2 linked regions of the Styela clava genome follow. Each later gene encodes a partner of the first gene's protein in a complex. Links are inferred from orthologs where the notes say so. Each region holds a gene or a part of one and is shown on either strand. Other genes may lie near its edges. The genes, in order: symplekin-like and RNA polymerase II subunit A C-terminal domain phosphatase SSU72-like.

What was found.
Region 2: the proteins of symplekin-like (region 1) and RNA polymerase II subunit A C-terminal domain phosphatase SSU72-like are in contact, whole or in part, in a crystal structure (PDB 4YGX), measured with the Drosophila melanogaster proteins. The link is inferred for Styela clava from reciprocal best matches to the Drosophila melanogaster genes Sym and Ssu72. Residues at the interface, in NP_649580.1 of Drosophila melanogaster: Glu91, Ala117, Lys121, Gln125, Gly128, Ser129, Glu169, Asn170, Asp171, Gly172, Thr175, Asn176, Lys179, Phe180, Arg198, Ser240, Ser241, Val242, Ile245, Ala246, Ser249, Thr281, Ser283, Gln284, Ser286, Ser287, Lys290, Met294, Gln295; in NP_001285455.1 of Drosophila melanogaster: Glu114, Tyr117, Asp118, Val121, Met122, Glu125, Glu128, Ser129, Val130, Asp131, Asn132, Arg133, Pro134, Asp168, Asp170, Asn171, Asp174, Gln178, Glu181, Val187, Ile188, Leu189, His190, Ser191, Val192, Phe194.

The regions. Positions count from the first base shown.
Region 1 is NC_135263.1:4,743,561-4,752,593, forward strand, and holds the start of symplekin-like, read left to right. Parts: upstream 1-5,408; 5' UTR 5,409-5,464; coding exon 5,465-9,033. Other genes in the region: ribosome biogenesis regulatory protein homolog, read left to right, coding at 119-227; spartin-like, read right to left, coding at 1,725-3,329. UniProt on the Drosophila melanogaster protein: Component of a protein complex required for cotranscriptional processing of 3'-ends of polyadenylated and histone pre-mRNA. Involved in germline stem cell transit amplification, differentiation and mitosis-to-meiosis transition.
Region 2 is NC_135256.1:18,814,288-18,823,135, reverse strand, and holds the start of RNA polymerase II subunit A C-terminal domain phosphatase SSU72-like, read left to right. Parts: upstream 1-5,577; 5' UTR 5,578-5,632; coding exon 5,633-5,709; intron 5,710-6,349; coding exon 6,350-6,493; intron 6,494-6,514; exon of another isoform or gene 6,515-6,960; intron 6,961-8,045; exon of another isoform or gene 8,046-8,848.

The sequences.
Region 1 (9,033 bases):
AGTACCTCTGGTTCAACTGTGCACATCTTTGCTCTATTCAATGATTATTAAACCCTGCTGGTGGGCTGGCATTTGTTTATCCACTCTGATCTTATGACACCATTCATTTCAATTTCAGTCGTGAGAGCGATAAACCGAAGGGCCAAAGAAAAGGTGGCAAAAATCAAAGAGGGAATAAGAAATTCAATAAAAGAACTGGTGGGAAACCAAAGACAGTAAAAACTTAAATGAGAAAATGGTTGTAATGAAGACTGGTGAATTATTCAATGCAGCTTGGTATCAAAAGTGGATCCGGGCGTCATGGAGCTCTTGATTTCTAGGGCCCTGTGGTGGTCATTATTTGTGGTAGAATTCCAAAAAAGTGGTCGCACCTTGAGCATGTATTCTGCCCTCGTACATTTGTACACATTATCTGTTAAAGATGACTGCCAGCGGCTAAATTTGAATTAGTGTCTTATGTGCTATTATTTTTGTTCAAGTTTGCTCAAAGTTAGGTTTCTGGCCCTAAATATAAAATTAGGAAGAGTAGGCTACTAATGATAGAACTGCTGATGTACCAAAGCTGTGCATAGGTTATGTGTAGTTTTTTAACCTATTTTTATCTGCTATTATTTATTTTACAATTTTGCTCAAAGCTAGGTTTCAGGCATTCAATCGCTCTTGTCTCAGTAAATATAAGAGATTGATATTCCAAAATGAGCAAATAAATGAATTCATCTTTTCCCCTCCGGTATTCGAAAAACATTATTCGCCTTTTAATTCTACCACTTCTGCTATTAAATAAATTACAAAAAAATCTCAATCATGATATATTTTTTCAAACACAAGAACAGTTATCAGATAAATATTTATTTTGAAAACTTACAAATCTGAAATAGGGCATTATGTCACATATATGGGCGCTCCAGAAGTGTGTGTACATACCAATATGAAGTTTACATCAAGTTGTGTGTAGGTACTGAAAGCTATGGGGTATGTTTACTAAGGAAAATCTGAATAAAATTATGGCCTAACCCAATACACACACTACAGGAGTACCCATATACGACCCCATTGATAATGAGCCAGAGATTCGGAGTGACTCGGTGAAATGTCTCTTTAAATATTTGATTTGAAGGTTGGCTCATTCCCCAATAACGTTTCATTTATAACATAAGTATAAAGTATTTATTTGAAGAGATTGCTAATTATAATAGGGTTTAATTTCAACAGTCTTTATGTTGCAATTGCAAAACAATACAGATAAGATTTTATAAAAAAAATAATTGCAGTAACACCCATATATATATATATAAGTGCAAAAAGGATATAATAGCCATTATATTTCATACTTTACTGTAACTGACGAAAATGGAACCTCTTCGGAACTGATTAATCATCTGGTAAGGCAAGATCGTGGTTAAACCGACTGCTAAGGTTGATATAGCGGAGCGTAGTTTATAAATTGGCTTAGTAGCAATAACTTCTTGAGCAAGGCCGTAAATACATTCCAAACCCTAGAATACACAATTCTCTGTTTGGGTTTGCTCTTTGATTCAGAATAATTGTAGAGTAAGCTTCTACATTTTGAAGATTTCATTGCGGCTTATCAATTTATCGAATGTTTTGGGTAAACTTGAAATATAGATAAAATATTGAGAATTGAGGACATTATTGTGATGTGCTAGGCCGACATCAATTTACCCTGATAAATGTGATTGAACAGAAACAAACACTTGAGCATATCAGATATTTCTGAAACTGTCTGGTTGCTGATCATCTTTAAAACTGTTATGAAAAGAAACCGTTTCATTTGCAGATTTATATTCAACTCTTTGTTCATCGCAACTCGCTGCTATATCAGCTATAACCTTAGTGCCCAAGTTATCAAGTGCAAATGCCGTAGCTCCAAGATTCACTGCGGCCCCCATGGCTAGATTTGTGGCTTCCGCTGCATCTGGTCCATATTTATATTCCATATTCTTAACTGTTGCTGTGGTAACGGCTTGGGCAATAGTTGAGCCGGCTTTTTCCAGTTCTGTCCAGATTTTACCGAATCCTGCAAGCCCCGATTTCACCACTTTTATCGCACCGTACACATTAGTGCTCGTATTTTCTGGGCTATCTTCTATTGCCTTCGTGAAATATGGGGCAACTTGTTGACCAACTGAAGTTGTGACCGAACATAACCACTGAATCAACCAATTTTTTACCCGGACTGTGGTATCAGCTGCATTGTATGTATATTCAAGGCCTCTTTTGATATATGGATTGACCGTTACTTTCCCTTCTGCTGGGGTCAACTTTGCTTTAATATTGTTTGCACTGCTTTCAACTAAATTGGTAGCATAGTCTGTCCCATTTCGGACATGTTGGGACAAAGCGGTCGCTCCATTTGTTACCGATGCTGCCATGCGGTCACTCATGCTTGGCGGAATGTAATCATCCGCTTCTGAAAATGCTCCTATAAATTCTGATAAATCAACAAATCCTTCGTCTGGATTTTCAATTTGAAAAGCAGCATAAGTTTGAAGAATATTCTCGAACATTTCCACATACTCTCTCGACACATTGCTCGAAATTACGACCCCTATTGCGTACCCTTCTTGAATTCCATCTTCTGTGCACTTGGGGAACATATAGGCACCGTTCGCAGATTTCAAAACCGGCATCTGGTTATTTGCGAGTGGATACACCCAGTCTCCGACTTGAAGTATAGCTTGAGGTCCTCCTGGTGTTACAGAATCTTCCTTCAATAATACAATTTGTAAGGATGCTGGGTAAGACGGAGGCATTGATTCTACTTGGCTCTCTGCTGAGACAAAATATATTTGTGCGCCACTCTCTATAGATAAAAGTGGATCGGCCATAATGTCACTATCGTGGAATTGGGGACCAGACTGAGATGAAAGTGGGTCGTGTAGAGAATATGAAGGCGGGCTTTCGGGCTGTGGAACATCGTGATTAACTGGTTCATCAAAAGATTGTAAATGATAAATTCTCTGTCTTATATTAGCTATGGTTGATATGATCTGTTCTTGCATCTGCCTGGCTTGTTCCCATCCTGCACTGGATTGTTCAAAATCGTGGATATTGTGTCTCAAACCATTCTCACTATGTCTCAAAGCCTGAAGATAGAGTGCCATAGCGTCTGCGTTGTTGTTTGCATCATCTTGTGCCAAAGCCTGCGAAGCTAGAGACACTGATTTAGCATGGCATGATCTGATTTCGTTGAGTATTTCGTCAAAGGCTGGAGGTGCTGACGGTCGAATTACTTGCTGTGCCATGGCTTTATAGTTTGAAAAATATACTGTCACCCCGATATACCAAGTTACTGCCAAATTACCCATTCATCGGGTTTTATTGCGCCTACTTCTGCCCGATATACGTGGCCTAAAGCCCGCTATATCATTTCCCGGTAATTCACCTGCATGTAAAATGAGTCTTAAAAAGGGGATTTCCCTTTGAATCTTGTGATCTCTGAAAATGACATCACCATTCGTCAAGCGTCACAGCTATGAGCCTATGATTCAGCTTTCAAAGCTTTGTTTAGGCTGCAAACACCATCGAGATGTCATCCACAAAAAATCTGCATATCGATAAATAAATTAATGGACATAAACGAGGAAAAGTCAAGAATGAAAAGAGCAGACCAAACCAATCAAGAACTTGAAATGAAAAATTGAAAATTTTTATCTGAATCATTTAAATTTTTAGACCAATATATCACATTTTTTTTTTATATCAAACTCATATGAATCTAACACAATTAGAAAACTTTAGTTGCTTGTTTTGATCATAAATCATGTACGGAGACCAGTTGACCTAGTTACAACCGCGAGATGTCAGACGTCAGCAATTTATTTTCTTCGTTCGAGTGTTGCCAGATTTTATGATCATTAATACATCAATATATATTTTTAAAACACATCTTGTACGAATAAAACAAAAAATGTTATTTCCAAGTGTGAAATTATTGTTAATAAAGGAATTTTGATTTAAAAAAAGTAATGCATGCGCTCTATTATCCACCGTATCTGCATTGATTTCAAATATTTGAGTGATTGTGGCAAAGGTTTATGTAGGTCGTAGAATGCAGTCGGTTTCAGTTCGGTCGGCGCCATTTTTTTTTCATAATTGAGGCGTTTATAAAAATATCTGAATTTCAATTGCCTATTATTTATTTATCGTTATTTAAAGGTATTTATTATTTTATTTATTCTTCAAAAATTGATCAATCCACACCAAGGAACTATAAAAAAAAATTTTTACGGAAATTATGAATTAATGTGGAATATTTTTCCCTCAAAAGTCAGATAGTGTATCTAGAATTAGATTTATTGCTGGAAATGACTTGTGTGTTATAGAAACAGAATTAGTATCACATTTGTTCATGAATTGTCCATTTGTAAAACAATACCGTAGGCCTAGGTATATGATTACCGTATGCAGGTAGGCTATGTTTCCTGATTATCGTGAAAATAACTGGCAGAAACAATTTAATTGATTATGAAACTTGTGTATTATTACATTTGAGTCCCCCTTATCATGCACATTTATTGAATGTAAAAAAAATGATATTATTTTGTTTAACGATAACGAACTCACTAACGCTAGCGATCTCTCACATATCGGGATCGTTACGCCGAGTAAAACAGCTTGCTCGATTTCGATTGATTGTCTGTGCGTCTTGGATGACAGTTAGTACTGTAGTATACCTCGGATGGCCTTATTACATTACTGTGGCATCGTAGTGCAGTAGTGAGTGATATTTTTTTGGCGGATTTTGCGGAATAAACACTGTAACTGCTTAAATAACGCCAAACAGTAGTACCATGCTCAATTATTATTTTTAAGATTAGTTATGCGAATAGTCAGCTGATAGTTTACATAGACTTCGGAAGTGAAATATATAACATATATTTTTGACATATTGTTTTGTTGAAATTTGTAGTTATGTATGTATGGTTATTACAGTAGGGCACACTTTCCAAATTCCAAGAATGTCCCGTTGGTTCAATAAAATAAACACTTCTATGTGTCTCAGAAACGAGGGGCATCGTGCTCAACGGCAGATGCATCTTATTGGGCCATGCTTGTCTCGATAATAATCTACATTATTCCTGGCCGTCACATGATCTAAATTCCCATTATTTGCTAAAAACTCTAAAATGTCATGGTGAAAAAAAAATTTTCTTTTAGTAAATCGGATTATATTTTCCTGAGGAACTCAATGATGACGTTTTCTAGCTACTTCGTAGTTTTTTGTGCAGCTTCATTTTACTATATTTTCACCTATTATTAGAGGTGACAATGTCCAGACGTCCTTTCCCTTGTTTATGGGATTCTTTGGGACGAGACAATGTCTCTCAATCTGTAAGGTGTGCTGTACTGTATAATGATACTAATCAAACCATTCACATTTCAGATCCGTTACCTAACATCCATATATTTGACCTAATATTAATTTATTCCCATCACCAATATGGGGAAACCCAAAAAAACTGGTACAAAATCGCAAAGGTCATCAAATTCCAAAGACCAAGATGATGAGTCAGCATCTTCTCATCAGTCAACATCAGAAAGAGTAATTGATCTGTTAAATCAGGCTTCTATGGCCTCAACGGACCCTGACAAAGTTAACAAACTCAAACAAGTTCAGGAATTAATTGTGAATAAAGAACCAGCATTACTGGATAGTTTTACTGATGAAGTTCTAGCATTCCAAGCTGATAGGTCGCATGACGTTAGAAAATTTGTTGTCGGATTCATGGAAGAGGCGTGCAAAAAAGATAATGAACTTCTCATGAAAGTAATGGCGAATTTAAATTTATTACTCGCTGATACCAATGCGAATGTCACTAAAAAACTCATTCAGTCTATGACACAGTTATTTAGAATTGTGATCTATTGGTTAACAAAGGGTAGTTTCATCTCTGACAGTCATAAAGCTTGTTGGAAAGTGACATGCAATATTCGAGATCATATTTACGAATTACTGGATTCTGTCAATGACGGAGTCCGAACCCAAACTGTCAAATTCGTTGAAAAAGTGATCTTGATTTTGTCAGAGATACAGCGAGGATCAGAGGTACCTAAGAAAACAGAACCTGCGTCTTCTATTGATGAGATTCCATTAAACCACGCATTACTAAAACGGGATGAACTAAAAGCAGACGGAGAAAAAGCTCTTCAGAAATTGTTGGGTTTTATTGCTAATCCTGCTATATCGAGCGTTAATCTTATGGCAGCCATGGGAACCTTATCAGCCATCGCAAAGCAAAGACCACAATTTATGGGAACGGTAGTACAAGCATTTGAAGCATTACATGCAAATTTACCACCAACACTGGCAAAAACTCAAGTCGCGAGCGTGAGAAAACATTTGAAAATGCAACTAATGAACATGTTACGGCTTTTTTCATCAACACAATATCATCCACAAATTACCAATCTACTTTATGACTTGGGTACGACATCATCTGAGATAGCAAAAAATATGCCGAAATTGTCACAACGCCAAAGTGCCGGTAGCTCGCGAAAACGTAGCCCGGATGAAGATAAAGGAGAGGGGAGTGGAAATAAAAAAATGAAAAAAGAGGTGAACGAATATGATGATGATGTTGAAATAGGACCTTCTACGAGCTCAGCACCTGCCCCTGTCCCATCAGAACCTGTGGTCAATCAACACAGTGTTGCTATTGATATCACAGCTAAACAGTTAGTCCCTTTATTATCACCAGAAAATGTCGCTAATTTAGTATTATTGAGCATGGTTATGTTGCCCGATAAAATGCCAGACGCGTTTCAAGCTTCATACACCCCTATTGAATCCGCGGGCACAGAGGATCAGATCAGTCATTTAGCGAGATTACTTTCTATACAAATGACAGCCATGGGTGTCGGATCTGGAGTGCAAAAAGCTGCTGAAATGGCGGCGGAAGAAGACGCAAAAAAGAGAGAAAAGAAGTTAGAAGAAGAAGGAAAACAGAAATTACAAATTCAAACTGTTATAGGAGGAACAACAAAACCAACACCAGTTCAAGAAGACACTGCTCAAGATAAATCGAAGAAAAATATCGAAGCAATGATATCATCTCAGACAGTCGTACCGAACCGTGGTTTGCCTCGCAGAATCCAGGGTTTTCGATTAGAAAGTATCACTACCCCTCTCGATTTAGACACAAAAGATAAAATCATCAAAAATGCAGTTTTGAGAGTCTTGAGATCAGAACAAGCTGCTAACGCTGCTGGAGTTCATGCCCAATGGTCAAAAATTTTAACCAGTCTTGTGGCACAGTTTGGTGGAGATCTTCATAGAGCTTTAGCAATGTTTATTTTAGAAGATATTAGGAATCGTTCTTCCCTTGCATTTGCATGGTTGTATGAAGAATTCAATATATATTTAGAAAACAGTCGTGGCTCGAATGACAAATCTGCACAAGAAAATTACGATGCCTGTCTGACAGGACTTTTACAAGGATTCAGAGAAAAACCAGAAACACGAGACAGTCTTTTCAATAAATTGGTAATGCAGGCACCTTTGTTAACTGATGGGGCGATAAAACAAGTCCGTTTGTATTGCGAAGATGAAAAAAGATCACAATCGGGAATTAAACTTGTTAAGGACTTATTGCATTACAGAATAACGAGAAAAATGCAGTTTCTTCGTTTATTACTTGATCTTTGCGTCAGTAAAAATGAAAGTACCCAAACCGAAGCTGTTGAATGTATAAAATCAATTTTCCTACAAATTGAATTACAGGATTTCATCCGAACATATGCTGTCACTCATCTTGAATATTTATCAAACTCCGCACCACCTTTGACCCTAGTCCCAGAGGGAACACCGGTAGATGCTAAATCAACATGGACGGAAACCCAAATGAAACAATGCATGACGTTATTTCTCGCTTTGCTACCGTTGGATCATAATTTAATCGAAACACTTGCCGAAGTTTATGTAAAAACAAGCGCAGATGTGAAACGAGTTGTCTTACGAATCCTTGATAAACCTGTGAGCCAAATGGGAATGGAATCGCCACAATTATTGCGCCTCGTTGAAGGATGTCCAAAAGGTGCGGAGACTCTTGTTACTAGAATGTTGCATATACTTACAGACAAGACCCACCCAACTGTAGAACTGGTGCAGCGTGTCACAGACTTGTATGCAAAACGCGTCCCTGATGTACGTTTCCTTATACCAGTCTTGAACGGTCTCGAAAAGAATGAAGTTTTAAAAGCTCTTCCGAAGCTTGTTCGATTGAATCCTCCGGTGGTGAAAGGAGTATTTAATCGATTGCTTGGAGTCAATAGAGGACAACAATCCGAACCATCTGTGAGTTCTCTGTCACCTGTGGAGTTACTGATCGCACTTCATAATATGGATTCAAATACTGCTGATGTGAAAAGTGTAATAAAAGCTACAAGTTTATGTTTTGCTGAAAAAGCAGTTTACACATCGGAAGTTTTGGTTACTGTTATCAACCACTTGGTGGAGCAAGCAGAAATTCCGACTCTGTTAATGAGAACGGTAATTCAGTCCTTGATCACTTATCCACGTTTATCAGGTTTTGTTATGAATGTTCTTCAAAGATTAATTTTAAAAAAGGTTTGGGAACAAGAAAAAGTATGGGATGGATTCATAAGATGTTGTCAGCGTATGAAACCCCAGTCGTTTCAAGTGTTACTACAGCTTCCTTCCGTGCAATTATCTTCTGTTTTCGATTCCGCGCCGGAATTACGGGAACCTATGTTGCAATACGTAGAACGCTTTACTCCGCAACAAAAACTTCACGTCAATAAAGACGTGCTGGCGTTGTTAGAACGGAAACCAACTCGAATTGAACTGGAAAAAGCTGTAACTTTGACTATTCAACAACAAACTGCGGAACTTGCTCTCACCGTTGCTGAACAGCAAGCCAGAGAAGAACAACAAAAGATGGCCGAAGAATATGATAGAATCCAGAAAGAAAAAGAACAGAGTGAAGCTAAAACAAAACTAATCGATGAACAGGTAAAAAAGGCGGCAAAAATGCTTCAAGAACAAGAGGA
Region 2 (8,848 bases), on another chromosome or scaffold:
ACCCGATAAAACCTCTACTTTACAGTCTAGATTTAATAAAAGAGTCATTGTCACAATTCTTGAGCTCTTCTGATAACAAATACCCAACGCTAAGTAATCAAGCTGTTGTCCCAATTTTCAACAAGTTACGTGTACGAAAAACTTTTTCATCACTAGCTTTAAATAAAACGGAGCAAAGACTGAACCGCTGCAGACCTACGTGTTGCAAAACCCTTTTTTGATGTCCTTTTTTGATGAACCCTTTGAACAAAACAGCAGCAGCAAAATTCTCACTACAGTACATGATTTGGCATGTACATGTTTTATTATGTGAGATGTTTTCTGTGTGCTCTTTCTACGCACAATGGGTGACCAGCACTGCACTTTATTACGCAAATTTATGTTATTATTTTATTACACCGATTTCAATTTTGGCCAGCACGTTATTTGATAGTTTTTTCTTCATGTGAAATGTTTTTTAGTTATCCTTTTTTTTTTCTAGAAGCATAGTGAGTGCCCGACATTGCACTATATTACGCAAATATATGTTATTATTTTCTGTTTCACTTATTTTAATTTTGCCGGTCGGCGAGTACATTTTATTTAATTTCACCGATCCGCCAGGGTAGAAAGGTTGGGAACCGCTGGACTAGACTATCTGTACTTGTTTTTTTATTTATTTTAAAACGTAACAGGGATGTTTTTTCGAACTTTCGCATATTTGCATTGGTGGGGGGAGGCTTTTTACAACAGATTCAAAAATGTTCCTTTTTTTTACCACACTGATACTTACTTTTTTGTATCAAACTAGCTACCGCGTTTTCTCGAAAATAAGACAGGGTCTTTTTTCCTTTTTTTTTTAAATATCACTAGGGCTTATTTTGGGGGATGTCTTTAATTTTCATTTATCAAAAACAAAATTACAAAGTGGAGAATTACGAGATTTTTAAATATACAAAATATGAATCGTGGTGTAATTTCACGTTATTTCAGGTAATTGAACCTTTCCCTCTCTCACGCTTTAGATTAATCATTTAAAACGTGTAGGAGAAATTTCTTGCTATCGACTAGGTCCTCTTAAGGCAGGGGTCTCCAACTCAAAATATGTCGCGGGCCATTTTATGAAATTTATTGACGACGCGGCTAAGAAATTATATACAAAAATTAACTAAGTAAATCTGAATATATTTGTTAGATTACCCTTGAATCTTACACCAAGCGAGACATGAAACATATTCGTTTACTTGTGTTGGATATTTGGCACCGTTTTGTAGCGGTGAGACTCGATGGTTGGCCTGATTTTGCGTTAGTTTGCTGGTCTTTAGACAGCATAAAAACTCTCGTCTGTTAGTCGTGTGCAAAAGGCTGATTTGTTAACACTCATTGTTAAAAAATCATTTCACAAGCCTTCAACATACACTTTTTAATAAAGCTTCCCTCAACGAAAGGACGCGACGATTTTGCAATCATCTCACTCATGGCAAAGCTTGCTTTCATCGAATCTTCACAAGTTTTGTTTGTGTCTGAAAAAAAATTCTTTGTTTCATCAGTGAAAATTTTATTTCCGTTACCTTTTCGTGAGAAATTGTTTCAGTATAAACATGGTATTTTTCCCTTTGTAATGATTCATAAGTTCATAATAATCTAGTTTGGCGTTAACTGCACATAATTTGTGATTCGTAATCAAATAATGATTCACAACTGCACACTTCCATGATCTGACCGAAACTTGTTTATTTCGTCATAATAAAAACGCGGAATAGAATGGTTGAATTTACAATTTGATTATTACAATAGAACAAAATATGAACGTGGTAAAGTGGAATAACGGGGGGAATTTTTGTTTTACTTTTAACAGTTTGTTGTATCGGACTCTTGATGTTAAATAACACGATAAAACCCATAGTTGACATCATACTATTTTAGTTTTTTTACTGGAGAAATCTCAAACACGACGCGGGCCGCATATATATAAAATTTAATACTAGGATAAAATTGGCTAAGGGTAATTCCCATATGATGTTTCGAACATGCGAGAACCAGATTGTATACGCAACCTAAGATGGCACTCTCAATATAGTCAAACTTTTTGCTATGATTAGAAGTATTGAAATATTTTTCCTACGCAGGCCTGCCCAACCTTTTTATGTTCGCGAGCCCGCTTCCCACGAGTAAAATCATGGCGGGTCGCAAACTTAAATACCAGTAAAGTTCTGATTTACGTTAGAATTCACACAATGCATACTGGGGCACGTATGGCGTGTTTGCCTTATCCCAAAATACCCGACATGCTTTGGTAGACTTTATTTCGCTAGCTCACAATCTGATTCTTGCTCGCAAATATTTCATTGTTCACTTTTAATGTTAAATCTTCAACACTTATACTTATATATGAGGGCTACTTGTATATTTGCAGAAACTGCCTTTTATTTGTCAGGCTGATTTATTGCTGCTCCAAATAATAGTCATCGTTTACCTATTTAAATATTGGGTTTAAGTTTTTAATAGGCCACAGTTGTTGTCTTGTTTGAAAGGCTTACTAATAATAGTTATTCAACCTAAATTGTATTTATATATATGACTATCGATCGTATGTTTACCAAAATTGTTTCTTAATTTGGGTATATAATAATTTTTCAGTCACCTATTTGCCAAAAAATTTTCTTGTTACTTATCGATTTTTATCGGTAAGTATGTTGATAGGTATTTGTCTGTCTGTCTGTCTGTTAGATGCACGCGATATCTCACGAAAACGAGATTGAATCTGTTCCAGATTTTTCATGTGCTTTCATCATATCTCGGACCAGAAACCTATTGATTTTGGGCGAAGTATATCGTATAATTAGCGAGTTATTAATCAATAAGTGATGGGACACAAGTTGTCACTATGGAGTAAGAGCGCTTTTTTGGGGGATCCCCTGTCTTTTGATCGATAATTCCTCGGTCTCTGACCGATTTCTCGTTGGAAGGTTGATTCCTCTCTTGAAACAATTGTTTTACATGAGGACCATGTTGTTTATCTCCTGAAATTCATTCGTACATGTAAGGCTGGCCCCTTGCTGATTCGAACAATTGTTATGTGTCCAAATCTACATTGAGTATAGTAGTCCAATAGCCAAAATTGTTTTTTTTATTTGTGGGTCTTACTCCTCACTTTCAAATAATAGTGTAATAGTTGAAAATCTGCCCAAACTGTTTCATTTTACAAAACTCATCATTCAAAAATTGATTTCACGGAAAAAAATTAATTACTTTTATTTACTTCATTTTTGTTTGTTTGTTTTTTCAAATTTTGTGTCGTGAACTTCAACCATTTCTAATAATCATATTTTACTGTGAATTTATCAGCGTAAACTTGGAGGGGGCTGACTTCGATGACCGCATGGTCGTATCGCTCCTTCCAGTCTATACCGAAAAAAGCGTACTTTTTTATAGCCATTATTTATTTATTATTATGACTGTTTTTTTCTGGTTGACGAAATAAATCTCTCTCTCTCTCTCTTATGCACTTCATCTATATTTAACTAGCCAATTATCGAGATTCAAACCTGGTTTTAAAGCTGTTCATATGCTCTGCAATCCTAAGCGTATTCTGTGAGTGCCGACCTGCGGTGACAAATTTTCACTTTTAAAAGTGATTTTAATATAAGCCCTCCCCTCAAAATGAGAACTATTCAATAGCGCGAAATTTTTTTTACCTAGTTGATATGGTCAATTTTGAATAATCTATGTTTAGCAGTTTTTTTTTCAAATGAAAATGTGTTATTTAAAAGCAAATGAATATCTGTTTTCATATTCCGTATACCGGCATTTGAAAATCTCGTAATTCTCTACTTTGTAATTTTGTTTTTGTATTATTCGAACGAATCCGTTTTTCAGGCTCTTTACAGACTTTGACACGACCTATTCGTTTATATTCTCATTGGCCATGATTAGGTTTGTTTCTTTTTTTTATTAAGAATTTTGTTTCCTGGTGTATATGCGTTTTATTGTGTGATTGATATTTTATTCTTGTATGATGACTTCCATGTCCATCCATCTGCCGTTGGAATTTAGAAAATAGAGTTTGTCTCGATGGTCACGTTTGGTGCTTTGTGTTAAGAATACCTGAATAATATTTTTAATTTATATGAGAGCTTACGGTATACATATTTTAAGGCTTTCTACAGACCTCTTGTGGATGTTATCACCTCCTGTGCCCGAGAGCAAAAATAGTTAGTTTGTTAGGCTACCCACAATTCCATTTTGGCCCTCTGTCGACATTGATAGAAACTAATTCTGTCATTGCGTTTTATTTGTTTTGTGACAACTGTGGGATACCGGTACTAGTGCCGATAATTCGTTAGGTTTTTTTCGTTGTGACTTCGGATTAAGTCTGTGAGTACTAGCACCGTGAGTTTTGCCGATGACTGGTCATGTTGTTTTTTCTTCAAAAAAAGGAAACAAGGCAAAATTCAAGAAAACCGGTGATGGAAACTGTATACCGTACTGGTACCGGTATACCAGTACGGTATACCGTTACCCGGTACCGGTACGTACTGTTCTCTGAACAGTGTTCTGTACTATTACTGTACCGTACTACTGTACTAGCCTAGTACGGAGCTATGACTGAATGGTGCATATATATCCAGATATCTGTATATACACTTTCTTGCCACATTATTTTTGTTTTGGTTTTTCACTTTCTTAGTGCTGTAGTGAGTGGAAAGTTTTTATGGTAGAATTTGCATAAAATTATTTGTAAAAGTTTCCCTGAATCAAAAAAATTGATTAATATAACAATGATCTGGTCAAATTGGGATAATACCTGGTACCAGGGTACCGGTACCGTAGCTTTTTAGTCATAGAAAAAAAGAAAACTTAATAAATACCATATTATTAACTTAAGCACAATTCTTTTTCATTATATGACTATTTTGATAATGTCAAAAAATTCATTATTGGATTGGGGTATCATTTTTCACACAGGCAATTTATTTGGACGATGTAGACAATGGCCAAAATATAAATAAATTTGCGATATGATTGTATTGGCATTTTACAGGTACAAGTGAAGATATAGACTATCTTGAATGAAGATTCAGAATTATTGAACTTAATTTTTGTATACGATTTTTACTTTATTATACTGTACCTAATTTTGTAGAATTTCGCTCATCCTAAAATACCAGTAGATCTATTCAATAGCAATCCATAAGTATAACCAATAAGTTTCAAGTTGATGCATTCTTTCCAACGCTCTTGTATACTTTAACCCTCCAAATCGATCACCTAGACCTTGAGTGTTATACATCAGCTCACTCATAGATACTTGTATATGCTAAATGTCATTCTGGTCATACTACAATTGGTACACAAAATTTTGTTCAGATTGACCTCTAACTGCTCTGTTTATAATATTGTCTTGTTTCCTATGCAGCCTCAAAAACATTTGTTTTTATATCTCTCACAATAGAATAGTTTGTGATGTTTAATTCAAACAGATGATTGGCAAGTCAGGGCTTTCAGATTATAATTTTTCCCATTTTGTTTCCATCAATTTCAAACTATTCTGTACCAAATAAATCTAAATGATGCAGTATTTTTTATTTTCAACAGATTATATATAATTGTCCTAATTTTACATTGTGATCACTGAAGAAACATAACAAAAATGTCATCAAAGTTGAAGTTTGCTGTAGTATGTTCAAGTAATATGAACAGAAGTATGGAAGCACACAGATTTATGAAGTATGAATTCCTGGTTATAGTCTTTGAACCAACTTCTAAATATTGTTCTATCTACATTTTCAAACTAGCAGCGTATTATTATATATATTTTATATTGTCATGTCCACTGTTAGTCGATCACAGCAGCACCAATATACAGGGTGATCACTAACCATAAAATGTGTCAACAGCTTTTATTTTTGCAAAGAATAACTTTTACCAAGTTTTTTAAAGACCTACCGTATGTTATATTCCACCCATGGATGCTCAAAATGTTGCCCGTGCACTCCAGAAAAGTGTCTTAAGTTAAGACTCTTAACCTAGAAATCCGAGCTCGTGCAGCTTTTTGAAGGTTACCTTGTGGGATATCATTCCAATTCAACCCACACCTATACTTTTCTTCGTGATGTCATCTGACCTTCAAATTGTCTGCTTTTCTAGCGACCAACTTTAGATTATCCTTCAAGCAATTCTGTAACCCAGAAACTAAACGTTGGTTGAATCAATCAAACAGAACTTACAAATTGAAGAAAATTTATTTATTACTTGAACTCATAAATCTAGATGTGACGCCAGTACACCACACAAAGCATCTCAATGATGCGAATATTTTTATTTATTGATTTGAAGAAACCAAGGAACTATATTATCTTGTTAACAGAAAAAAGGGATTCAATGTGCAGTCGTTCGGCACTGGTAACCAAGTGAAACTTCCAGGACCTTCAGCAGACAAACCTAACGTCTACCCATTTGACACAAGATATGACGATATCTATAAAGAATTAGCAAACAAAGATTTCAACCTGTATCCTTTTATTTAAAATATTATCAACTCTGCACATTATGGCTGTAACAATCGGAGAATCCAGAGTTTTTATCAGATATATCAGGAAGGATTGTGTATAACAAAAATGCTCGTAGAAGTACACAATAACATAATGTTAAATTTCTTCCTTATTTTTGAAGATTTTTTAATTATGTTATTGGAGTATTTTATTTTCACTTTTTACATGTTTATTTATGAATGTTGAGTGTTTTTGTTTTGCCGTTTTAAAAAAAATATATGCTACAATTGTTTATCAATAATTGTTACAAATTTTATCATTTCAATTCAGATGTGTTCTTTGTAATCTTGGCGAATATCAGATAGAGAATATCTTGCACGAGAACTACTACTAGAAGCGGTTACTATCCACGTGACATTGATATGTGATGGAAGCCCTTGGCGAATTGAATTAGAACTTTCTGCTTGAATTATATAGTTTTGTATAGGTAAGTATCTGTTATTTGTACAAAGACATTTCATGATTTTGCTCTTGTTATCAAATTTAGAAATTCATATTAGTCTTTTATATCATATACCGGTATATCTTTTTGGTATATATATACGTTTGAACATCGCTATTCCATGTTTTGTTGTTCATACACTCGCTACATCCTGATGTATGTTGAAATCTATTGTTATGCAAAGACTGGTGCGTTCATTTAGTATTTTTTTGGCATTGAATTTGATTCTGGTCTCGTTCTAATCATATTGTGGAGAGCCCAATATTGTCGAAGTGGATATATTTTTGGTCATGGATAACTAACACCTTATTATTTTATCAAGATAAATCTTTGGTAACCTGAAAAAAGCGACCCATAAATGTTTCAAATTTACGAAAATTTATTTAACACCTCAACACTTGAATTTATGTTTGTATATGAATAAACCCAAAATTTTCAGTAATCTGTGACGCTTGGTACAAAAGATATGTTCTCGTTAGACCATGTTCCCAATGACCTATTTTTTTGTCATGGAGGATATTATTTTATAGGATAAGTCTTCTCTTGTCTAGAACAGTGGTTCCCAACCTTTTTTCAGTCCACTCAAATTTGAAGAAATAAATAAATTTGGTGAAATCTTGCTACTCAAGGATATTCTCACATACTAAACGACATGTATTGTTTTCATGGCCGCAAAATTAGTGACAAATATAAGAGGATCATTTGACATTTATTGCCCAGAAACTACAGAAAAGTGAGAAAATTGCTTGTTTGCAATGGGCAGGTTTTTGAAATCATGGCACTTAATAAACAAAATAGATGTTGCCAAGTTTTCATGCTGTGATACCTAAAATCCACTGGAAAATAAAATCAACAACTGACTACTGACTGTTGAAAAAACAAGGTGCCCAGGATTTTTAGGCGCCCCAGTTTTAGGTCACACCCATGTGCCGGGGAAACACTAATTTAGAATATGTTCCAAATGACCTGGGTTCTGTTTTATTAGGGTATATTGTACGAGAACTTGTTTTGGTCTGCTTTACTCAGCTCACTGCTTTACATGTCATTGTTATCTGCATCCTTTTTTTCAGATCATAAACCTGACAAAGAATTTGTACTCACTTGATGGAACCATACTGCAGCATTGTTTGTCATCTAGCTATTCAACAAAATTGTGGTTTATAGATTAGCCTGACTAGATTTCTTAGACCAGTTGTAGGCCTTGTTGAAATTATTATAGCATTGACAGCTGAAGGTTCGGCCAACCAACTCTGACCAACGAAATCGCTTTTTTTATGATTGAGGCAGAGTTATTTGTATTGAGGAATAGCCGAATAGGTCGTACTGCAAGCATCGCTTTCTCGGAATCATACTTCGTAAATAAAATGTTATTTTTGACTAGGATATGTGGTAAGACCGTGGTTTCCAGTCATTCAAAGCACATTATCCATCTTTGATTTCCCAAAACCAAAACCTTGATCGTAGTCCTAACGTCTGATTAAAACTAAATTAAAAATTAACCTTTAGTTTTATCCGCATGGGAAACGAGCGAAAATTGGCCAAATATATGACCATGATTATTTTATATGGCTAAATAATCAGAATTTAAACACATAGTCAATACGATAAAAGTGTATCTGTATCTTGAGTCGTCTTTGGGGACGTTCATAATCATGTTCGTGCAACTTAATATTCAAGTTTATCTGAAAATCTGCTGAGCTATTCCTTAATGATTAGTGAAGATTGGAACCCTTTGTCGTAGGAGAGATTTAATAGCAAGGATATGATCATTTTTACAAGTTTCAAAGACTGCTCAGTATATGAAAGTAAAAAATGTAATACAAAGATGTAACTTCAATACATTTCAAGTCTCGTAACATCCATGCGCACAATT